Linked DNA regions of Drosophila melanogaster. The protein of the gene in region 2 interacts with the protein of the main gene of each other region in a pairwise test. Each region holds a gene or a part of one and is shown on either strand. Other genes may lie near its edges.

Region 1 (12,517 bases), on a different chromosome or scaffold from region 2:
CGGTCTACGTAGTGACGAAACACGCGAATGGCTTGAGTTCAGCGACTAGCCACTAAACAGTCATAAAAAACGCGAAAACCACTCACTGGAATCTCTAATGTCATCTACTAAATATAACAAATGACTTGCATTCACGCCAACTTAATTTTTCATCCCAGTTTTCTATACTTCATAATAATTTATTGTTTCTAAAATTTTGTTGCTTGCTTTCGTGTTCCTCATTCTGTGATTTCTGTGTGGCAATTTCACTAAGAACATTCCAATATGATTTGTGTGATCGATAAACTCTTGATTGAGTGTTAAGTGTAACAGCTTAAGATAGAGATACAAAAATGTGTTAGCGCACCAATAAAGACACAATATTTGGGGTGAAAAGAATACTTAAAATTGGTAACTGCACAATATAGCAACATAAATTGCAATACATATGTCTGCAACGAATTATCCTAAGCTATTTAACTTTGAAATCAGTAAAGAAAGCGATAGTCATTTCAGTTTCCTTGGCTATTTATATCGTTTATTCTCGTTTTTCCAGCGCTGTGCATCCATAACCCCCTCCACAAGCAAGCCCGCAATATGGTACCTCTATTATTAACCAGCAGGTGGCGGTGCGGCCCTTTGAAGTCGACCGACGACAACAAAGAACGTGACCAAGGCCGACACACAGGCAGAGGTACTCAGTACGTCAATAAATCAGAAGGCATTTGTCATGCACACGCCCGCTGCCCAAGATCGATACTCCAATGGCACAAAGTTGCAGAACCAGCCGTTTTGGCCACTTTCTGCTGACCATACCTGTTGCGCAGGCGCCGATCGTAGCAGCGATAATCGTGGCCAGGACCTAGGACCCACATATGGGTGTAGATGAAGGGACCAGGCCAGGATAACGAAAACCGCTACAGATAGTGGTTAGACCATGAATCCGATTGGCGATAGGTTGAGCCAAGTTTTTCAAAGTGGTCGCGTCTGAACCGCACTGCAGCAGACACATAAATCAGTTCGGTTTATTAATATTTTTTTACTGCGGTTTCCCTTTCGTCTCTCTCGTGTTTTTTCTTTAATTTTTGAATCGGTTTTAAAGCTTACAAGCAGTTTGACATGCTTCGTTCCTGATAGTTGTGTGTTTTTAGTCCAAAATTTATGTAGGTGCTTAATTTTTGTGTACCCCGTTTTTAAGATTTCCATGTATCATTCATATCTCATATGAACTATTTATTTCTTCATCATCTTATTTAAAAAAATACAACTCAACATGATTGCATTGAATTTTATAAATAAAACTTGAATATTCATGCAATTCAGTTAACTTTTTGATGAAAATGTTAGACCCCCCATGCAGACTGAATTTCTAAAAAAAAATATTCACAGGTTGGGTAAAAATTATGTGGGGAAGCAGACTGACCACTTCAGGAAAATCAGATAAACGACCCGAATTGAAACTACTTAGTTTGAATTCGTTAAACTTGTTACACATTGTGTAGGCAGTTAAATCTATTCGGAATCGAAATCGAAATCGGTATCTGCCGCTTACTGAAATATTTCAGAATATTTTAATTATGCATGGGCATAACCGTTTGCTGAGTATATTTTTCATTAATTAAGAAAGCATGAATTGGGATAGTCCTCTCGATTAAAAAAAATAATATATATATGCTCCCCACGGAGTTGACTATGGAAATTGCTTAATCAATTAATTTTCTCTAGATAAAATCAAGAGACCCTGATTTAAGTAATGAGATAGGCAACAAATTGAAAATCTTTTGATGGTAAAAAATCTTGTTCTATCCCTAGAAAATTAAAAATTTTGTATAGTATTTTGGGTCGATGCATACAATTTGGTGTGTCATATGAATGAGATTTAATTTTTGTGTTTTTTTTCCAACATTTAAATAGACGATCGGCTGCACAAACGCTCACGCAGTGAGTGTAGCACTTGTTCTAAATTAATCTTCATTAGGGTCACTTAAACAATAACAAAACGGACGGAGGTCGGGTCATACAGGGCAGCTGGGCAAGTGGGCAAGTGGGAAGTTGGGAGACTGGGCAGCCATATGTTGCAAGTTTTCCGTGCCGCAAAATAATCCGAACTCACGGAGAGTGCCGCAAACTTTGATTGAATTTTCATTAAATTTTTCGCTGCGGTTGGGAAGTTCACGCCATAAATCAAAAATTCAACTAGAAAATGTCAACTTTTCACTTTTAATTAGTTTGGCTGAGTATGAAAAAATTTTTAGGTCACGCTTTGCTGGCATAAATCAAAAATTCACTTGCGCAAATATTTGGAGAAATTTCAGTGCACCTAAAACTGTGGCGGTTTGCAAATATGCCGGGCCAACATGGGGCTGGCTTCACTGCCCTCCGCTGCGGGATGTGGTTGTTAAAATGTTTTTCCATGCCAGCGGCTTTCTTTTTAGGCAATTTTGCTGCATTATGCTGGCGACTTTGTTAGCAACATTTTTTCAAGCATTTTTAATTAAAACTTGAGCCTCCGAGAATCTGGCTAAAGGGCTGCTACAGTCATCTAATCGATTGCTTTACATCATAACCTTTGGTGTTGATTAAGCAATTTGAGACTATACGCTTTTATCTCCAATCGAATTTTTCTATTTGAGGGTCAGGGGTCAGCAACAACTGTTACCAGACTGGCGAAACATGGCAAACAGACTGTTCAGGCCAAAGCGGTAGTAAAAATCCCTCTGACTTTCCTCAGATTTGCCCCTCCTGCTCGATTCTTGTCGAACTTATCCTGCAGACATGTAAATTACGTTGGTTTTTGGTCTGTTTGCTGAATTTTCAACCAGACAGGACTTTGTCTGGCCACCCAAAGGACCCATTCCAATCGAGTCCCAGTCCCTCGTCGCCATTTACATTCCAAAATATTCTGTTGCACTTCCAGCCTCACCAGCTTACTCAAAAATGAATTTTTATGTTTTCGACAAATTCTATGTACCGAATGCTAATCCTTCAAGTTACTAACTACCTCGAGCTATTCTGACATGCCTTCATCAAATGAACTCGGCAGCATAAAAAAAGTATCTGGGAAAATTGTCACAACTTCTAGGTTCTTGCGACCAGAGAATCAGAAAAGCTTCTCGGTTAGCGTGAAAAGAAAGCTTTCTGCTCAAGGTAGCCAAGTGTGAGATCCATAATTCTGCTCAGCCTTCGCGGCCAATCGAAACCAAAACAACGCACATGTTACATAATCATATGTTTTATATATATAATCACAGATAAGACGACGAAGGGGAGTAATCCGTCGCCCATGTGTATCTCATATATATGTATGGTTTGCGCCTGCATCGCATGTGGCTAGCGTTTCGCCAGTGGATTGGATTACAAACACAATAAAACAACAATTAGTTTTAGTGCGAAAGCGGAAAAATGAGAGCAGGGCAACCGCAGTGCCGACAACAGTGCTGCGTCCCTTTAATGGACGACCGAGATGGAATACGATGAAGTGGGTCCCCGCAGCAAGGCCGAGCTAATGGGAGGGCAAAGTTCGTGGGATGTGCCACTCGACGGGAAAGAAGTGGCTGTTCTCGTTTACGACTTTAACTGCTAATGTTGGGCAAAAGCAAATCGCCGGATTTCTTATCCCACACTTAAAATCGCACAGACAAATCGGACAGATTTTCCAAAGTGATTTATGTGGAAGAGTTACGATCTTGGATGGGACAGTGCTGGGAAATACCCGGTTAATTGCACGCTTACTCATTTATTTTGCAAGACCCAAGAAATCAACGACAAACACTTATGATAATAGTTTGAATTCCTATATACTTGAACTGAAAACAATACAAAGTTGATTACAATGTCTACATAAACAAAGCTTTCTTATCTATCAAAATCGGTTTAGTTTCTTACGACTCCCCCTCCTTATATTGCCTATCTATCATGTTGCCATGAGCTATGTTTCTACATTCTTTGGTAATTTTCCTACTCTTACAGTCGTATGGCCACGACACTGGCGGAGGTGTGTGGCTCGGATGCCCGCAGGACGATCTCCCCGTGCTCGTCCTTGTAGTCCGCGTAATCCTTTGTGAGTATGCACTCCATGTTTAGGGCGGTCATAAGGCGTTTGGAGTTCTGGTTGCTGCAGGTAGATGTGACGACGGGAAATCCACGCTGGCGACCCAGCTCAATGGTGGCCTCCACCAGGCGGGTGCCCACTCTCTGGCGTCGAATGGACACGTCCACACCGAGCATGTACAGGTAAAGCGCCCGCTCCACTCCGTAGTGCTTGAAGATATTGGCCTGCCGCTCGATCCCGGCCAGAAACTTGTGTATCTTGTCCAGCAGGCACGTGATCTCCTTCTGCTCAGCCTCCTGGTACTCCCTCTCCAGATCCTCGGGTACCAATTCACCGGCCAGAACCACGCCCACAATGCGCTCCCCGTCGACGGCCACCAGGGAGAGATCCTGGGGTATGAGCGAGCGGTGTAGCTCAGCCTCCGCGGAAGACACCTCGCTCTGCTTGGGATCCTCCTGGGGGATCAGCATTAGCGGCTCCTGCTTGAAGAAGTGCACTGCGAGAAAGGCCTCGACCTCCTCGTAATCCCCGATTGTCATGGCGCGTATGGTGATCGCTGACATCTTCGCATTTGCCTCGCTCGCGGACTGAGACTGAGAGAAATTTAGCGCAATTTACTTGTTATATACATGCCAGGCCATCAAACATGCAGTGAGCTTGCGCCATCGTCTCCGTTCTGAGCTTTTCACGAATATGGGGCCCTCCTCCCAACGCACCGCCCACCTCCCACCGCCCAACCACCCACTGACCCGACGCACAGTTCTTATCAAAGCTTTTTTTCAAAATGATGTTCGCTAAACAAGCGGCCCCGAGGTTGAATGACACCAGTTTTGTTGTTCTGAGCGTGTGAATAATGATCTCAAACCATTTAGCGGTCCGATTGACGCCACCTGATTACGACGAGTCATTATACGGTTTATATGAGACCCCATATGTCTCGTAATACGGATCTTATCATTGGGTTAATATCTACGGAACATTATATGTAGCTATTTTACTTGCCGGTAGATACTGATCTCAAGTGTAGATTGCGCAGCTTTAGACTTAATATGTTTTTATATAGAGTGTATAACGGGTAATTCAAGACAGGTATTTTTAGGCAAGTAGTCCACTTGTGGATGGCATTTAAATATAATTTCTACCCGGCTCGAACTCGACTATAAGATACTCGTTCTTAAACGCAAGCTGTACCCTACATATAAAAAGTGATAGATATAATAAGCATCTGTTTAATCCTGAAACTGTAGCTCTGATAACATATCAGGTTTTCAGGATCCTGAAGTTCACACGGATTGGAAGCCACTAATCACCGGGATATATGGGTTAAAATTGCTTCTCAAACTTGGACAAAAGTTGTTAACTTGAGGTCTGTAGACGGCGATTCCACTCTCAAGTGGTGAATAATATTCCAAACAATGAGTGGTCCGGTGAATAAAATTGAACAGGTTTAAGGCAGGGCTTTGCTTTTGCATTTTGCGTGTTTCAATGCGAAACAAGTCGGTGGTTGAGTTCCCACCTTCTGTTCGACGAATCATTTGGCTAAATTATGAATCGCTGTTCAAACTCAAAATGCAGGTCATTAGTGCAATTTACATCAACCCCTTTTTAGTTTGCCCTCGTGGACTGTCACACGCACTTTACTGCACCACATTAACCCTTTGTTGCCCATCGCCGTTTTGCATTTTCCGCCCCCTAGTTGTCTTTTTCAATTATTTGCGGGGCTTGGTAGTCGTTGAACCCGTTTGAAGTTTAAAATCATTTTTTTTTATTTATTTATTTACTCTACGTGCAGCGCTGTTTTTTGATATCGCTCGCGGTCTTTATGGGAATTTAATTAGATTTAAAAGCCATAAACAAAACGCTATCTCGCTCTGGTCGCTTTTTAAGGTTGCTTTTACTTGGCATTTCGAGTCGCAATTGTTTTAAATTATTGGCATTTAATTTGTTGCGTCATTTTCAAGGTTTCCACATCCGATGACTTCAGTGGGGAAAACGAAAACGAATTAAAGTTTATTGAAATCGATTTTCACAGCGCAGAGCAAGAGCATTTGTAGCCATTTTGCGCGTTTCAAGTTTAATTTTCTATTTTTATTTTCGTGTTGATGACAACACCCAGAGGGGCTGGCTAGGATGGCATGGGATTTCCCGGACTACGTGACCCGCTTAACAAATTTGTGCGTGTTTGGGTTCGCCCAGTCCACGACCTCCAGGATCCGACTGCCGATAGCGTTTGCGCCACCCTCGCTTTATAGTTATTGCACTTTTATCTGCCTGACCATTTCAAAAGTCACTTTTGGCCTCCACTGTCCACTCTTCCATTTAATTAAAAACGAATGCACTGGCAGGGGTCAAAGTTCGTTCCCACGATCACCTCTACGCCTATCTGAGCTGGTATCTTAATGCCTGCGGGTTTTTCAGGCGCTAAAACGGTTTGCTACCTTTTGTTGCCCGAACTATGCGCTTTGTATCTATCACTTAATCAGACATTTCATTATCATAACTTCAAGGTCCCCATTAAACCTCAACTATTGAGCTGTGAATAGCTATAATCAATCCATTAGTTCGTTTTAACAATCACAATAATTATGGCATTTTGGCATGTAAGAAGTTAAGTCGAATTTGCAGGCACTGCGAAATACTAAAGATTTAGTTTATGAGCTCCATTTGAAATTGTTTTGTTAGCAATTAGTGGTTTGAGTTATGTAAGTTAAAGTAGAGCAAAATAATTTAATTTTAAGTTGGAGCACTCAAATTTGATTGGCCGCCGCCAACTTTTCCCCCTCAAATTTTGGCCGGTCTTTAATGGCATCATAAAGCTGTTAGCAAATATTAGGTGCATATTTCGGTGAGCATAGTTTTAATTAGTTTCAATTACTTCTTAAACTTTTTATTGGATTCGTCCCGACCATGCGAATTACCGTTAATCACCCCATTAAGATGAGCTAAAAGCCGAAAAACGAAATCATAACTTTTATTTTCACATAATTAAATCGACATTAGAGGTCGTTTAACTTTAGTTAACTACATTTAAGCCAAACGAGGTTAATTTTCGTGGTGGCAAGCGGGTCGCCAGGGTGGCAAAACTGGGTGGAAAAGCATACGGGCTCACCTGGACATTCGGAGGCCTTTGGAGTCCTGCGGATGATCCAATATTCGCTTGATGATGTTGCACATGGTTAAGTTACCGTTAACACTAATCACCACCAAGGTCGACACACACGATAACCGATAACGATAGTTTGTTGTCGATAGCCGATTGCCGACAATCGATTGCCGATGGCCGATAACGATAGGTGCAACACCGCCAGTTGTCCGACGCGTTGCTCCAGCAAAAGTTTCGCAACGACTACTGGCCCGTCAATTGGAGCTGCCTCAACGAGTGCCACAATGTCATCCACACGCACACAGACGAACCAGCACGGAGGACACCACACACATGCACACGAAAGAGGAAACATTTGCGATTTCCTTGCGCGACGTTTCCTGCTGTCGCAAAGAGTACTTGAAAGAGTAGGTTAAAAGAGCGCCACTCTCTTTCATCATTGGCGCAAACTCGCTCGCATGTGGATCCCATTTGTTTGATGAGAAAAGTATGAGTAGGTTGTGTGAGGGGGAGGTGAGTTGTTGCTGGCACAGGTGAGTCCATAATTCTGGCTTGTAAATACAAATAAAGGTACATAGTTTCTGATGCAAAATTGAATACAAAACTGGACACATTTGCTAAGATAGTTTTTGAAAAGAAAATACCTCTTTTCACAACTTTTCTGGAAAAACTCTCTCGCTAGCGCATTAAATATTTAAAATTATTGATTACATTTCTGGACCTGCTTCACCTTTCACCGCCCAGCCCGCCCACACAAACAAAACAAACTCAACGTTACTTTGTATTAACTTGAACTGTATCAGAGAGTTCTGCAATTTAAGAGCGTGCTCCGCTCTCTTCGACTCTCGTTGTTTCGTCGTATAAGACGGAGCGCGGCTGCCTGTTGATAAGCATTTACATTTACATAAGGTAAATAAGGAGCTGTGGATCCTAACAGCTGAACTCCGCGGGGGGGATGGGGGTCATGTAAACAACTACAAAAGTTTTCGGCCAGCAAAAGAGTTATTATGGAAAAAATCAAAATGGGCTATCGAAAAAATTAATTATCCTGAACGGAAGCGAATGCAACTTTTTTTTAAAAAAGTTTTAACAAAGTAAAGCAACATGGCACCGCGAAATGTATTCAACTTTCATTAACCAATATAGTAATGGAGTTTATTTTTCTACCTTTACAATATTCATAACTCGAGTATGAGAGGTGTAAAAAAAAATGATATCATAAAAAAAATGTAAAAAAGATAACAACAAAGACTTTAAAATTGTCGCAACTAAGAGGAAAAAATAAATATCAAAAGATGCAAGTAACCAATATTTAATTAAGTGGGCTGCTGTTTATGACATTTTATTCAAACAGAGAGTAAAACCCTAAAGGCTTTTGCGCATTTACATCCTTAAATATTGCCTCGATTCTTAAATTTCTTTATTTGCTTGGAAACCAGTTGTCTATTTATTAATCAGAAAAATCAATATCTACGTTTTATATAAAGTAAAATGTATCTCAAAAATACACAAGAGCTCAAGGCAAAGCCCTTAAAATAGAAAACCTACATTGGTTTAATTTTGTTGTATCAAATGCAGTTAAATGTTGTTAGCTTTTACAACATTTTTTGTGCAACAAAAACGTAATGTTTAAACTCTCTAATTATTATGCGTAGTCAATCTTAATAAAAGACCCAAGAAATGTGACACCAAAAATGCATTAAAATTAAGCAAATAAATTACACACATGTGCTTAATTTTGCGTTTAGGGATTATGTACAAGAAATTAGCAAGGCTATGCGATTTTGACATTATTCAATAACAAATTCATCTTATACCTTTTATCTGCACAGGCACACTTTCTGAATAAACATATGGCTGAAGCGTGTATCGCCGGGAATTAGTTTAAAGCAAGTTGCCACTTCAATTAGGGCCATGTCTGGCCAACGAGCGTCTGAATGGCCCCGGTGGCATCGGACTGCTGATAAGGATAACTGCCGAGTTAATCCCCGATGTCGTTGCCAAACATTCAATCACCGGCTGTCAGAAAGTTGCAGCACGGGGGCTTAAGGCAACTTTGAAAATTCCAAAACCCACTAAGACAGAGAGCAATGTGTTTGCAGCAACAAAACAAAATGCATATCAAATTGTTGACTTAATGCAGAAGGGGGAAAACAGATTGATGTCGAGCATGAGCCAAGAGTTCTTATCACAAGTTTTTCCCTACAGCTGTTTGCTTTTCTTTTCACGCTTTGCAAACCGTGAACGATTTAATGTCTGCAAAGTTATCAAACTGTTGATAGCAGCGCATTGGAAAATGAGCACTTAACTTTTGTCTCCCAGACTTAGCCAATTGGGAATAATCTTGCGCATCTTAAGCGATTGTTTTTATTAAAGAAGAAGTTGTCTGGAAATGAGTTGAATTAAAGAGCTGAACATTAAAATCATATGATTAAGTTTATTGAAAAGAATGAAATCTGTAGAAACCTACACTTTGTTACCACAATTATAGGATCAAACGTGAATCCTACGATATAAATACAATAAATCTATAAGATGTCTATTGACCTTGGAAGTTCAAGGATAGGTCACGGCGGGCCGTCTCGAGGATTACTGAGAAATCCAAAGCAATTAGGCAAAATGATTTGTGAAACGAGAAAGGATTTGAGAACCGATGACGCTCCTTCCCATCTTTTCTCAAAAATCAATGACTTGACGCAAAATTCGCGTGGGACGAAACACTAGAAAAGCGGGAAAAACAGAAAAGATTCATGCCCTTTGTTTTCCAATACAACTGACCGTTTGCGGGCGTTTGAGGTCCAAAGTCAAGACGTCAGACTGATTGTCCTGACATTTGTGAAGGTGGAAAATCAATAAGCGGAGAAAACGGAGAAAGAGATAGGCGGCCAAAAACGCAGCCGCCTGACGTGGCAAACTATTTTACACCTGAACTGTCTGGCCTGTCAAAAAAGAGCTCAGGTGCGACTGCGGAGTGAGGTTTCGGGAAAAACAAATAGAAAATGCGCGCGGCGAAAGGTGGAGCTGGAACGGAAGGTACAAGCCGAGCGCTCCGGCTTAATGAAGATATTAGACAGCGTCTGAGGAACGGGTTCCCATCTTGACAGCCATGACGGTCATAATAAGGCTGGGTGTCATAAGCTGTTGAAAGTCGATTGAAAAGGTCGAAGGAACTCGCAGCGGGCAAACTCGACTACCAAAATATTTCTCGGCGTTGCACATTCAGTCGCACTATGGGCTTATGACCACAATTTCCGCTTAAAATCCAAGAAAATGCCATAGAAACGGTTAAATTTTCGGACTATGGAATATATGACATTTACCTACATATATTTGTAAGTATCTCTGTATTGAATTTCAATTTTAAAGATTTCTATCTTTCTGTTCTAAACTTCTACGGTGTTAGAAGTTTAACTAGATACTAGTTAGATCGATTGCTCTAGGTTCCCCTGTCAATTTTTATGCCAAATTTTTTGCTTTAAATTTTTCTGAGTGCGCCGAGCTAAAAAAAAGGGGAATTCCATAGAACCGACAACAACAACAGAAGTTGCCAACTTGTCAGCTGACAGGCAGGCGGCGTTCTTAGGGCTGTCCCCCAACCACCATTCTCCACAACACCCATCACCCAGCCCCCTTAAGCCGTCAACCAACTCGTGTCAAAAGCCCCTTGCCTGCGGCATGTGAGCGGAAAAGGAAAAGGTGTGGGGCGATGGGGTGGGTGGGGAAAAACAAAATTCAAAGGCTGCCAATTGCCAATTGAAGCCGTAAAGTATGCTAAGCAATTTGCGTCGTGTGTGTGGTATTCATGTGGATGTGGGTGTGTGTGGGTGGGTAGGTGTTTGTGTGGTGGTGGGGCAGGGAGTTAGGGATTGGAGGGACTCAGTGTGTGGTGCGATATTTATTGTTGTTTCATGCCAAACTTGAGCCGGAGTCAGAATCAGCTGGCTGGTTGGTTAGCTGGCTGGGCGAAGGAGCCATGAGTTTAGCATGGAGGCACCTGGCACCTGACGTATCAGACCTCGAACACCGCTCCTAATCCACCTGCTGTCGAGGACCCTTCATAAGTCGAACAGTGTGATTTCGATTTTGGTATGTAGGCTCTCGAACAGCCCTAGCTGCGATGGATGAGGCGTAACCGTTTCCGGTCCGCTTCCGGCCTACTTTGACTGAGTGTAACTAAGTTGAATTTATATTCGGTGATGGATTTTCCAGTTATGAAACTTGATTCATATTAGCTCGTGCAATTTACCACCTAAATCACAGCATATTCTAGGGTAATAATTTCAGATTATTCATTTGGCAAGCAATGATTTTGGGGCACTAATATACCTACCCGTCGGCAGCTACTCCCCTATTGTTGTATTTCCATTTCCGGCAGACGACGTCCAGTCACAAAGCTAATCAAAATGTCCGATACATGCACTTCACTCACTCAAACACTCGCACGATTTCCCTCACACGCACTTCGAGTGCAAACCTTGAATCTCGTAGTGTTGTTCGTGTTGGTTTTTCTTGGGGCTTTGGAGTGCCATTCAGGGCTGGGGCGAGCAGGCTTGTTCGAGAGTCCTTTATTGGGCGCCTCGAAAAACACTTGAATGAGTGGCCCTTGCCGAAAGGATACCGATTGATTTTACTCACCTCTTCTGCATTTGCGTAGCTATATTTATAAGTGTACATAAAAATGCTTAAAATAAACGAGAGTAATAATGATATTTCATTCACATTTCATTTGTGATTTAACTACATTTCTTTTTTTTTTTTTGCTTGACTATCAGCATGCATTGAAGTGTAGTTAGTTGGCTGAGATTAACACGTTTTTCGGGTTGCCAGACTAGCAACATTTGAGTTAGATATTCATTAGAGTGGAAAACTAAATAAACGTTTCTATATTTTTCAGCTCTTCTAAAAATTGAAAAAAAATATATACTCACCTAACCGAAGCAATTACATTTATGGTATGGAAATAGAAGGGGAGGGTTTTCTATCCATTAATATTTTATGTACGGTTATGATGCCATTAGCCGTGACCACTTTTTTGCGCCATTTCCGTTTCCGCTGAAGAACAAAAAGTTCGTGTGATAAATTGCAAAATCAATAAGGGCCGGGGCATTGGCAGCCACTGCTGCACTCATAGATAAAGAAGAAAGTAAACAATATGTTAATACCGTAAATATCCAACGCATCGGGGGAGGACAGTCGCCCAAGACAGGTTGGTTAGTTTGGGGTTAGGGTGCACGATGCAAGTTTGGAGTGTTTACCCAAAGATTACCGATTGAGATTTATGATAGAGCTCGTCTTTAGCTTAATGGCAGTTTTATGATTGCTCTTCTTCCCGTTGATTGATAGAGCGAGCAAGTTGAGAAGGTGGAAAACTACAAGGGGTGGCC
Region 2 (13,135 bases):
AGAGTTCGCTGCCCTGATTACCAAGGGTAGCTATGCCTCCGATTATTGGTAACTATTCTATTGTCGGAGGCGCAGATAATGAGATAATGAATTCTCGATTTCGAATGGGAAATGCACAGCAGGATTTGCCTGTGTATAAATGGGCCAGGGAAGGGTGATTCGCTAAACAGTCGTAAACTAGGAGCTCCAGGCGAAAGATGATCAAGCTATTGGCTATATTGCTTGCCATGGGAATGGCGATGGTCCAAGGAGCGCTGCCGACCCAACTATCAAATAATCAATGGACACAACACGATGTGTCCTCCATGGCGGATTACGAACGGCTCCTGGATCTGCGCTCCCTGGCAATGGAGTTCTATCGCGAATTTCGGAACATTTCAACGGCGGATGTGCATCTTCTGGGTGAGCGGATTGGATCACAAGATCTACAGTGCCTGGCCGATATGGCCCAGTTTATGAGTGCGCTTAGTGCGCCCAAGGCGTGGGCCCTAAAAAGTGGGTATTACAACATCTTCAACTTTGATGCCATTTGAGTTTATCCCTTCTATGCGAAGTGCTCGACGCGTGGGGCACCATTCCATCGGGATATCTCATTGGCAACCGCGTCGACATGGGCAACTACAGGGAGTGCCTGTCCGAGGGCGGAATGCTCACCTCATCGCAGGACATCCAGGGAAAGTACTGCTTCATGGAGCTGCCGGTTGCCAAGTGGTTGGGTTTCACTTCTGAGCTGCTGGCGGTGACCAACATAAGGACTGCTGTGTGCCTGCCTTCCTCTTGCTCGGCGGGCACCATGGAGCTGTTCCTCAAGCAACTGCTCAAGCGGCTGCTTGGCGTCAGTGATCCGACCAATTTGTTTTCCATCAGCGAGACGTCGTGCAGAATCAAGGAGAAAGCACCCTGGGATGGGCTCACCATATTCACAGTGTGAGTAGTGTCTTGATACATCCTAGCTGATCTATCCATACTAACTGACTACCATCAGCGTTCTACTGTCCGTATTTGGTGTCACGGTTATCCTGTGCACCCTCTACGACTACTTCTTGTGTCCGGAGCAGGGTAAGTAGCTGACATAAATCGGATAACAGCCTATATGTATGTATATGTACCATATATCCATGTCTACCCGCAGAAAAGCTACCCCGTCCCATCGGCGCCTTCTCAGCCCGTGCCACTTCGCGTTCGCTGTTCACCATTGTGGAGAACACGGCGAATCCGAATGTAATCCACTGTCTCAATGGCATGCGGTGCATGTCCCTGATCTGGGTAATCTTGAGCCATGAGTACATTATCAACATGAAGGGTCCCGCCATCAATCCAGCGGACAACCTGCGATGGGCGACGCAACTCTTCTCGAGCTTCATACTCTACGGTACCTTGTCGGTGGACACGTTCTTCTTCATCAGCGGCTTGCTGCTGGTTTCAATTGGCCTGCGAAGCATAGAAAAGTGAGTCAACTTGTACAGGGATTAATCCGATCTGTAGGCAGGCTAACATTCTCAATGGCTCCAGAAACAAGGGAAAGCTAAATGTGCCGCTGATGTATCTGCACCGATATCTGCGCCTCACTCCGATCGTAGCCGTTGCCATACTGGCATTCTACAAGATGATACCCCTCATCGCAGACGGCCCAATGTACGATGATATCGGCTTTTTCGACTACTCCGGGTGCAAGATGACCTGGTACTGGACTCTGCTCTACGTGCAGAACTACGCAACATCCGATGTGGTGAGTTGAATGTCCAAGTTGATCAGGAGAGGTGGACAAGCCCATCTAGTCCGTCCGTATCAGGATGGATCTGTATCAACCTTATATACCTTAGAAGTTACAATAATTAAAAGTGTTTAGTGGCTTTACTGCGAATAGGAGATCACTTCGATAGATGGCGCCTGCAGCACTAGAATTGATCGTTGGCGCCATCTATGTAAGTTCGGTGGTACCATTGCCATTGCAGTTGGAGCTCTTGACTATATCTGTATATTTATCTATCTAATTATTTGATTGTTGGTTGCTCCTTAGTGCGTGCCGCATACCTGGTACTTGGCGGTGGACATGCAACTGTACATCCTGTCCCCGATCCTGCTGATCGCCCTCTACAAGTGGGGCAAGAAGGCGGCCGGAGGTATCCTGGTGGTCACTTTGTTGCTCTCCGCCTGCCTGTTTGCCACCATAATGGTGAATGACTTCCCTGTGATGTTCAAGTAAGCCAGTCGCGCCCGCCGTTTTGTGTCCCCCAATGCTAATTGCAATTACTAACAGGAATGGAATTCAGGCTCAGGTGGTTCAGAGGAAGATCTACACCGCTACGCATACCCATGCGGCGCCCTGGTTGGTCGGTACTATGTTCGGTTATCTCCTGCACCTGATGCGCGGCCGAAGATTCAAGTTAAGCCTCCTGGCTACCTGGGCAGGCTGGCTGCTCTGCCTGGCCCCGCTCTTCACCTCGATCTTCGCCTTGTATCCGTACTCCAAGCTGCTGGGCAAATCGCCCTCAGTGTTGCAGGGAGCCCTCTACTATACACTGGTCCGGATCGCCTGGCCCCTCGGTCTCTGCTGGGTGGTCTTTGCGTGCATGCAGGGCTATGGTAGTCTGGCCAACAGCTTCCTCTCCTCTCCACTTTGGCAGCCGTTGTCCAAGCTCTCCTACGGCGCCTACATCTGGCACATCTTTGTCGTGGAAGTCGCCAATAGAAGCGTTCAGACCAATACGTACTTCTCCAACTATCAAGTGGTAAGTGTGTGGCAGGCAGGGTCACTCGACATTCCTATTGGACTTGAACGCTTCATTTCCAACTCCATAGATGCTCAACTTTTGGTCCACCTTTGGCTTTACCCTGCTGATGTCCTACGTGCTCTACGTTTTAATTGAGGCGCCTCTGGAGGCCTTGGAAAGAATTATGTTTCCCAATCGCAGAAGCCCGCCAGCAGCAAAGGATCAGCTGCATATCGAGTCCCGAACGGAAGTCGTGGACCAGATGGACCAGATGGATCACATGGACGGGATGGATCAGGTGGTGCAGCACGAGAAGCGCAGTGATATCCAGCCTGACCTGGAAACGAGTGCCAACAAAACAGAGACTGACCTCGAGTTATCAAATTAGACTTATCAGCTCCTATTTAGCCTTTATTAAAACGAACTACTTGTAATCTAGGCACAATTAACTTAACCACGGGTCTAGAGTTACGATGGAATGAATGGTCCTTGAGTTGAAAAGTCTTGCACTTAAGACGATATCAGTCGTTATCTGGTTGCGACTTTTGCGACCAGGTGGGTTTCGAATTAGTCATGAAGGTGATTCCCGACTTTGGCTTGCTGTAATGGGCACACAAAGATTTCAATTCTGACTCACAGAGGCGATGCACGCCCCATTCAGTTACAGAAAAAAAGAAAAGAAACACAAAAAAAAAACAGAAGGAACGACTTTGTCTAGTGTCTCGACTATCAGATATGTATGCACCAAAGCGTTTACAAGTTTTTCAGTTTGATAAGAGCCAAATCTGTTGATAATTTACATTCCATAGATTACGTATTTGTATTTGTATACTTGACTTCCCCACTTTGCTGACCATGTGTCTTGACTTTCATCTGCGTAGTGACGAAATGCTATGTTTATAGTCAGGAAATTGGAGAATTTGCTCTGATAAAACGATAAAATCAATCGATTGACAAACCAATCGAAACGTATTTATTAACATTTTAAACTTGTATTTTGGATGCTTAAAGTGGGCGGGGCCAACATGTTGTGGGCAGATCGACAGAAATGGGCAAGCCAAATAATAAAAGTAGGCGTATCTGCGTTCATATGGATGGACATGGAAGTATCGACTCGTCCAGTGATTCTGATCAAGAATATCGGAATCGCTTACCGTACAATGAATTTCGAACACAGTTTTAATACTTTACGTAACGCATGAAATCATATATTTTAAATGTAATTATACTAAAACGTTGCTCTTTTCGGGAGCAGCCTGAATAACTTCGTCGGGTATCGTGGATATCGCTTCCGCAGGCTTACCTACTGGAGATTCTTCGACTGATGCCTTCACCTCCGACATCCTGGGCTCCACCACCGCGGCCGGCTTGGCATTTGGCCTCTTTGCGGGCAGCAAAAGGCTTTCCAGACCGGCGAATGGCGCTTCGATTAGGATATGCATGAGGTACGAGAACAGAATCGTAAAGCCAAAGTCCGTCCAGAATCGAAGCATCTGGAGATAGGGGGATTCTTAGAATGGTCAACTCCGCGTACAAGGGAACATGGTACCTACCACTTGATAGTCACTAAAGTAGGTACTTGTGTGCGTGATTCCACCGTTCAAGCTCTCGATGAACATGTGAAAGATGTAGGCGGAATAGGATAGCCTGGACAGCGGCTGCCACAGGGGAGAGGATAGCAAGCTGTTGGCCAGTCCTCCGTAACCGTGCATGCAGGCGAAAACCACCCAGCAGAGACCAAGGGGCCAGGCGATCCTGGTTAGGCTTACGTAGAAGGCCTCCTCCACAATGGGCAACGTGTTCTGACCATAGATCGAAAACAGGCAGCTGGCTATCAGTGACAACGCAATCAGCCATCCCAGGAGGACAGCCAGGCGGTTCAGCTTGAAATCCTTGCCCCGGTTGGTATGAAGAAAGTAGCCGAACAGTATGCCAATCAGGTAGGGAGAAGCACGAGTCTGTGTGGCATAGTAGAGCTTCCTCATCGAATCACCGCCGCTTCCTCTGCAAATAAGAGAATTGTTCTGAATATCTTACATATAAGTATCCCTAACATCCACTTACAGCGATAAATCATTGATGACCATGATGCTAAAAAGACAGCCGGCCAGCAGGAGCATCAGAACAAAGATTCCGGCAGCCGCCTTCTTGCCCCACTTGTACAGGCAGATCAGGAGGAATGGTGCAAAGATGTACAGCTGCATGTCCACCGCCAGGTACCAGGAATGACTTAGGCACTGCGAGAAACCGTGGGTGATATAAGGTGATACAAAATGTCGTCATCGAAGGACCCTACCAGGCTATCAGTCGCATAGTTCTGCACATAGAGTAGTGTCCAGTACCAGGTGCTCTCACATGCTGAGTAGTCATCAAAGCTTATTGATCCTTTAAGTGGCCCGCTTTCCCACAGCGGCAGGATCTTCATGTAGAAGAGTATGGCAATGGCCAGGATGGGCGTGAGTCGCAGATACCGATGCAAATACATTAGGGGTATATTCAGCTTTCCCTTGGTTCTGGACGGAGTAACAACACAATGTAAGTGAGTAATTGAGTAATTCAAATGATATCCCTATCATTCAAGTCACAACTCACCTATCCATTGATCGCAGGGCAATCACCACGAGCAACAGACCGCTCAGGAAGAAAAATGAGTCCACCGCATAGACCGCATGTTTTACAAACAGACTGTAGAATGAGTTGATCCACTAAATAATGGGTAATTATATAGAACTTTTACGTTTTTCTTTTACTCGCCCAACTTACCGTCAGAAGGTAACCCATATTAATGTTGGGCGACGTGGCAAGCACCATATAGTCATGACCGTAGACCACCCAGATGAAGGAAAGGCATCGGATCCCATGAAGACAATCGATGACGTTGGGATTCGCCTTGGTGTCCACAATGCGGAATAGGGCACGCGAGTTAGCTCGTGCCGAGAAGGCTTCTACCACTGGATGGATGGTTTCTACAAGCACGGACGATTACTACGGATTCAAGGATCGCATTCGCGAAGAACTCACTCTCATCTTTGCAAAAGAAATAATCGAAAATAGTGCAGACGCCCACTATAGCACCCAAGATCGAAACGATCACTCTGAAAGTTTACGTGTTAACCAAATCTTAGACCATCGTCGCATCCATCATCTCTTTATGATTATGATCTCTACTTACATGGTGAATATGGCGAGGCCATCGTACGGTTTCTTCACTGCGGTCTGGCATGTCTCCTCGGCGACGATCTGCACATCTGCATCAATCTCCACGGTGAGCAGCTTCTGGAAGAGCCTTCGGAGCATCGTATCCATGTTAGCGGCGGAACAGGTGGCCGGAAAGCAGACAGCTGACTTGAGAGCTAATATGGGCAGCAGACTTGGAGCTGGTGTCAGTTTGGTGATGCAGTACTTGCCCTTGATACTGTGACTGCTGGTCACAGCATGGTCAATTGCAATGCACTCGTCGAAGTTGCCCAAGTTCCACCAGTTGCCCGCCAGCATTCCCGAAGGCAGCAGGCCCCAGGAGTCAATCACTGCAACGGAATCGAAACGAAACTGAGGTACAGAGAGCACCTTGGGTACGCAAGCCTCACTACTCACTCTTCAGGGCCCAGAATTTAAAGGACGATAGGTCCTTGGACAGGAGCGCTAGATCCGCTAGGCACTCGAGATCCTGCAACGAGGGTATCCTCGAGTTCGAGTTCGCCGTGAGATCCTCTAGAGTTACATTGGCGTAGTGCTCAAAGAACTCCACTGACAAGCGTCTGGTGTTGAAAATACTCGAATAATGATCCCCACCAGCAATGTGCTCAGTGAGCAGTTTCGTATTGGTCATGGCAAATATGTTGGTCATCTGTGCATTAACACTTTTGGCCAAAGCCAAAAGGCCCAATCCCAGGATAAACGCCAACCTAACCATGTTGCTCTGTCTGGTGGCGAAATGAATTTGATCGGATTGCCAACGCGCCTGGGGGCTTATATTCGCGGCACTTCATGGTCCGTCATTCTGCGATTAATCCATAACCATAACCATGGAACGCAAAGTGTTTTAAAATACGCCCCACACGTTCAGCGCTGATAATCAATTCTTATCTATAGTCTCCTTTTGGTGTTAACTTATGGTGCTGATTTATTTAAGTATAATCTACACATGCCTGTCACTAACTTGAATCAATTTTAGAAGATATAAAAGTAAAGTATTAAAGTAATTACAACCGGAATAATTGAGAAAACTTCTTGATTTCGAGACGAAATCGATCTCAATGTTGATATTTGCAGGCACATGATTCGATCTTGGCTAGATTTTGAGATCGAAGCTATCAAAGATTATCATTCCAGTTACGCATTGTAAATCCTAAGGACTGTTAATCGTTTTATTGTTTGACCATCTTGATTAACCACACAAAAAACACTTTGCATAAACTTTGCACAATTCATTGTTAAGATATAAGGATTTATGAAAAAAAATTCCTTGAAATTCTAACCTATTGTATATTCGGTTCAGGATCAGCGACTCCAAGAATAGAAACTTGCGTTGAAAAATAAACGGTTTTGAATAACCAAACACTTAGTGATAACGGCCTAATGGGTTCCAGCTGAATTATGAGGAGCACTTGTGACCACGCAATCAGATCGGGTATTAGGTGACTCGTACTTGGCACTTGAGGTGTATGTATTCAAGCCAAATGTCTGGTCCTATCAATGAGTAATTCGAAGAAGGCCGTCTGACTTGATTGGCATCGCGTTAGGAGCATCGAATTTGTTTGTAATGATCCCAAAACAAAGTTGTTATTCGCACGTTATCAGTCGATTTCAGGCGATTCCGCTTAAACGATTCTGGCTTATTATTCGGGGAAGTGATATTGTCATGCACGGCTATTTTCATAGTCATATAAACCAGCAAAAGAGATAAAACAAAGTTTCCACGTAACGAGCATTCTATCGAAGTGCAAGATTAGAAAAGAGAAAATACCATTGCTAATTTGAAAAGAAGTGGGAAATCTATGGTTTAACTGGACCACATTTCGATCTAAATTAAATTTGTTGAGTTATGGTTTCAAAATGAATTTATTAAATAGCTTAATCAATAGCTTAAATAGCTAAAATGAGAAACGTAAAACTCCATGTAAATAGCACTTATTTCAAAAATATATATAATATACAACCGCTCATATACAATGTCATGTTCACGTGTGAACACTATCAGATACCCATTGCTTAGCTAGTGGAAGGAAGATGTGAAAAGCAGTGGAAAGAATTGAATTGAATTGAAATGGCTCTCTATCGCAACCCGGTGGCGGTTAGTTCAATTTAATTTGTGGGCAAATATCTTGCAATTATAATAATAATAATTCTCAACGATCTCGATTTAAGAATTCCGAATCATGCTCAGCATACTAAAATCGAGATCGAACCATTCTTAGATTCCAACCACTCCATTCGTACTTATTTTTTCTGCTTTCCCATCAAAAATAGCAAAATTGAGCTCGTTTTTGTCTCGAAATCAAGAAGATTTCTTCTCATGAGAATTGAGTTCTCGGTTTTTGTTCTATATTATGTTTTATCCTAGATTATAAAGACCATATATTTGTTATCGTGAAACAGAGTTATTAATTATGGAGATATTATGGATTATGAATATTAAGTTATACAGAGAATTCTTATTTTTAGCAATGTAACTGGTTATATGATTGTTCAGTCACCAAATTTCTTTCTACTTTTTCCAAAGTTAGTTTTTTTTTTTTAGAAATGTACGAATTTCAATTCCGTGAAGAATCCTTTGGTTTGATTAGCACAAGTGCCCAAATCTGTTTAGATAATCACTTTTTGTCAAAGCCAGAACGGGTGCTATCTATTAGTTTTGTTTAAAATCCACTTGAATATTATATTTCGCCATAATGAGCTAAATAAGCGAATGCTTAGCCATATGCTCTTAGCTTGGTTAATTCAGTTTTTTTTTTAGTTGGCAAAGATTATAGAGATTGTAATTTAAGCGCGTCTATTCGAATTTTGGATCACAATCTAGAAGTTGGCTTGAAAGGATCTTAATCGATCGTTTCCAAGCGATAGCCCACAAAATAGTGACTTTTCAGGTGCCGCCAAAAAAAGCACTTCAAACGTGTTTTCGTCCAAACAATTTTTGCACAAAAGCGGCCCGCGTCGTCTAGACTGTTTTATTGGGTTTGGAATAATCGCCGACTAAGTCTGATCCAGTCGGTTACTATTCGAAGATAATTTTTGATTAGGTCGAACTTTGCTCGTAGTGGGGACATTCCCACAAAACCAGGTGCTGACCATGGCAATGATTGAGGTAGTTGCACAAATAACCATTTGGGACTGGTCGTGAAAAAGATTATGGAACGATAACTAGGTTCTCTCAGTGCCCATGATAACACTACTGAAGCCCTACTCTTATCGAAGTCTCGACCTCGTATAAATAAGATCGTTCGAAGTGCTGCCACAACCAAAGCGCTGATTACTACCAACCCATCAAGATGGTCAAGCATAGCACAGGGCCAATCGTTTCGCTCCTGGTCATGTCCTTGGCACTGACCAGTGCCAGTATACGTGTGGAGCATCCAAAGAACTCCACCTTGAACGTAGGCAATCCAGAGTGGCAGTCACAATCCTACCACACAATTTCCAGACTCAGACGCCTTGCAGTCGAGTTCTTTGCCCAGTACCAGAACATAACGATATCCGATCTGTATCGGGATAAGGAGATTCGACTACCCACCACCGACGATTTGAGGTGCCTGGCAGATCTGCAGACTCTTGCGAAAGATGTGTCCGATAGAAAATTGTGGGCCCTAAGAAGTAAGTTCATAGTCGATACAGAAAAATATGACTTATTGTCCGACATTACCGATTACCATCATCGTTTACAGTGATTGACTCTTGGGGCACTTTTCCTTCGGGCATCCTGTACGGCAATGTGATCGATCTGGGCAACTTCGACGAGTGCTTGGGCATAGACCACGCTGTGACCTCCACTCACAATGTCCAGGGCAAGTACTGCCTCAGCAAGCTTCAGTTGGCATCGAGTATTCCCACCTTTTTGGCACTCAAGACAGCGGTGTGCTTTCCCGCCTCCTGCTCAGCCGACCACATGGACACAATGCTCCGAAGATTGCTGCAGAACCTCCTAAGCATTGAGCTGAATCCAGATGTGCCTCTAGTGAGTGAGGGCACCTGCAAGACTGCCGATCGGGAACCTTACGATGCTCTAACCATTTTCACAATGTAAGTGTTCTTAAAAGCATTATGGTAATGTTATCGTACATCAAATCAAATCATGCAAAATTTCCATTAGAGTCGTGCTATCGATACTGTGCGTTCTCATGGTGCTGGCCACTGTCTGCGACTACTTGGTCTGCCAGGATGACCGTGAGTATTGCCAAAGCTATGTGCAAATCTCTTCCAGATGCTAATGTGATATACGTTTCGGCAGAACCGCTAAATAAGTGGATTAAAGCTTTCTCCGCGCGCGCCAACTGCCGGATTCTCTTCAGGTTGGTGGCACCCAGGAGCAATCCCAATGTGATCGACTGCCTTCATGGCATTCGGGTACTGTCCTTCATCTGGGTCGTCTATGGCCACATATACCTCGTATCTTTCTTTGGCCCCAACATGAACCTTGTCAAATTGGACACGGTAAGCTCACCCAACTTTCCAAACTCGAAAAAATCCATATCTAATGATGTACATACATTTTCGCGATGCAGTGGCGCAGATCGCCGTACAGTATGCTAGTGCAACATGCAGCATACTCTGTGGACACGTTCTTCTTTTTGAGTGGCCTCCTGATGGTGGTGATAGCTCTAAGAGCAATGGAAAGGTACGACTCTTTGGACTTAAGCAACATGCACGGTGTCATTTAGACGGGTTTTGGAAACAAAGATTATTACTTCCTATTGACCCATTTGCAGAACCAAAGGAAAGCTCAATGTGTCCCTGATGTATCTGCATCGCTATCTGCGCCTCACTCCGGTCCTGGCCTTGGCCATCATCGTCTACATGTCGATTCTGCCACGAATGGGCGATGGCCCACTGTACGGGAAGGTGAACTTCGATGACTACTCCAAATGCAAGGACACCTGGTACTGGACCCTCTTGTACGTGCAGAACTATGCCACTGATGAAATCGTAGGTTATCCCACTCAATTCTAACTGGCATTTCGTTGCTTATCACACACCGAACTTCGACTAACAGTGCCTAGGCCACTCTTGGTACCTGGCGGTGGACATGCAGCTCTACATCATTGCACCCATACTCCTGATCTGCCTGTACAAGTGGGGAAAGAAGGCGGCCGCCGGGATTCTGGTCGCCATGCTGCTCCTTGCCGCATGTCTCTTCAGCATCATGGTGATCGGGGACGTTTCTCTGTAAGTGCAGACAGATATGAATGAATATGGATATGGATATGGATATGGATATGATCGTAACTAACATACCCTTGCCTTACTGTCTTGCCTTCTTATCCTGCAGCATTGCTATCAGCGAGGGGGCAATGGAAAAGATATACTTCTCTACACACACCAGGGCATCCCCGTATCTGATTGGTATTCTGTTCGGATACTTTCTGCACGTCAACCGGGGCAAGTCCTTCAAGCTCAGCCCCATTACAGTCGTCCTGGGTTGGCTGACCAGCCTGGCGTTGCTCTTCAGCTGCTTGTTTGCCGTCTACGGTTATGCCGCGGATGCGGAAATACCACCCATTGTGGAGGAGGCCTTCTATCTGACCTTCACCCGGATCGCCTGGCCTCTCGGTCTCTGCTGGGTGGTTTTCGCCTGCATGCACGGCTACGGAGGACTGGCCAACAGCTTCCTTTCCTCTCCCCTTTGGCAGCCGCTGTCCAAGCTATCCTACTCCGCCTACATCTTCCACATGTTCATGGAGAGCCTCAACGCCGGCATTACGCGCACCAACACCTACTTCAGTGATTACCAAGTTGTAAGTTCAAAGCCACATATGCGTTGGTAGTTCGAAACACTAATTGGGAATGGGAATCCTTGCAGATGCTTCGTTTCTGGTGCGATTTTGGCTTTACCGTGCTCCTCGCCTTCGCTGTGTACATTCTGATCGAGGCGCCGTTTGGAAATTTGGAAGGCCTCCTGCTTCCCGACAAGAGGCCCTGTCCACCACGCCCAGCTGTGGAGGAGTCGAAGGAGGCCCCAGTGGGGGGATGCAGTGCATCTGCGCCAACACTGGAAAATAAAACGCCTCTTCCGGCATAAGGATCTCGAAACTATTTATGAGCAAAGATATCAATTATAGGTTAAGGACCTTTTTTTACTAATGTTAGTTCATTTAAGACATACATATATTCTTTAAAACTACAAAGGTAGATCATAAATATGAATATACCAAAGAAATACAATATTATCGACAATTCAATTTGTATAGAACTTTTTTTTAATATTTTTATAAGTAGATTAGCTTTCTTAATTTTCCCATATGACACACTATGGGATATTAACATTAAAAAATTATTTTCTTTGAAAAATTCTTTGATTTGCCCTCTAATCAAAATGTGATTTTAATGAAATGTAATTTACAAAGAAACATCTTTCAAGAGCAGATTTTAATGACTTACTGAACATACTGACGTCATATAATCGATATATATATAATATATATATATTATATAATCGATATAAAAAAATTTTTCTTAAGTTTAATAGTGCATACTTTGGCTTGTAATAATTTACGCTTCGAATTTCGAATTTAAAGTGAACGGGTAATATCTTTTATCTTATACAACTTATACAACGAACATAATGAATCTACGTAGCTTTTTTATAGTTAGATGCACATTACTGGTGGCGAAGTGAAACGCATTTCGGATAAGTTTCGAATGCTGAGTTCCCTATAAAAAACAATCGCAGAACTTGATGAAATAGAAGCCAAAGTGACTGAAAACTATGAAAGTATGAACTATTCAGGCACTGGTTCCAAAACGGGTATCAATTCATGCATAAATTGTAACGTGTAACGAAATAAGTTTATGGACAAGGGCAAGGGAGAAACCTGTACTTGCGGGTGCACGCTTTAAAGTCCGGCTCTAGCTCATGGTGTGGCGGTCTTGCTTGTACAAATACCTTTTCCCTACAGGCATTAATAATTAAAATCAAGAATTGAGCGTGCTTTCAACAACGGAATAGAGGAGCTAGTATACAAAATCGGAGGAAGAAAATTAATATTTTCGAAAGGAGGAGGAAGTTCTAGAACAGGAGGAATAGCTTAAGAATTGGTTGCCTGCGCAACACAGGTTTAATTATGTTCGCGGATTGCCCTATGCTATCTATGACCACTTTCATTAAAGGCATGGCTCTAGCGGCCCCTTTGGTACCCTATGTCCGATGAAACATCAGCCGAGTTCAGTATTTAAGTTTTTAGAAATTCATTTTTTTATTGCATTCATGG

Evidence for each region.
Region 1: the proteins of CG14219 (region 2) and Ddr interact in a two-hybrid assay, tested with the Drosophila melanogaster proteins (one large-scale study listed by BioGRID).

What each region holds. Positions count from the first base shown.
Region 1 is NT_033779.5:6,247,952-6,260,468, reverse strand, and holds the start of Ddr (discoidin domain receptor), read right to left. Parts: upstream 7,347-12,517; 5' UTR 7,140-7,346; intron 4,611-7,139; exon of another isoform or gene 4,594-4,610; coding exon of another isoform or gene 3,943-4,593; exon of another isoform or gene 3,647-3,942; intron 1-3,646. Other genes in the region: AANATL2 (arylalkylamine N-acetyltransferase-like 2), read right to left, coding at 3,943-4,593.
Region 2 is NC_004354.4:19,583,445-19,596,579, forward strand, and holds CG14219 (uncharacterized protein), read right to left. Parts: upstream 6,727-13,135; 5' UTR 6,628-6,726; coding exon 6,309-6,627; intron 6,242-6,308; coding exon 5,887-6,241; intron 5,810-5,886; coding exon 5,736-5,809; intron 5,681-5,735; coding exon 5,478-5,680; intron 5,420-5,477; coding exon 5,307-5,419; intron 5,228-5,306; coding exon 5,011-5,227; intron 4,952-5,010; coding exon 4,779-4,951; intron 4,719-4,778; coding exon 4,268-4,718; intron 4,208-4,267; coding exon 3,938-4,207; 3' UTR 3,904-3,937; downstream 1-3,903. Other genes in the region: CG14204 (uncharacterized protein), read left to right, coding at 198-495, 555-927, 986-1,059, 1,133-1,448, 1,513-1,729, 2,021-2,202, 2,261-2,732, 2,803-3,102; CG14205 (uncharacterized protein), read left to right, coding at 9,203-9,524, 9,596-9,950, 10,021-10,094, 10,159-10,361, 10,433-10,545, 10,637-10,853, 10,921-11,093, 11,197-11,662 and 1 more.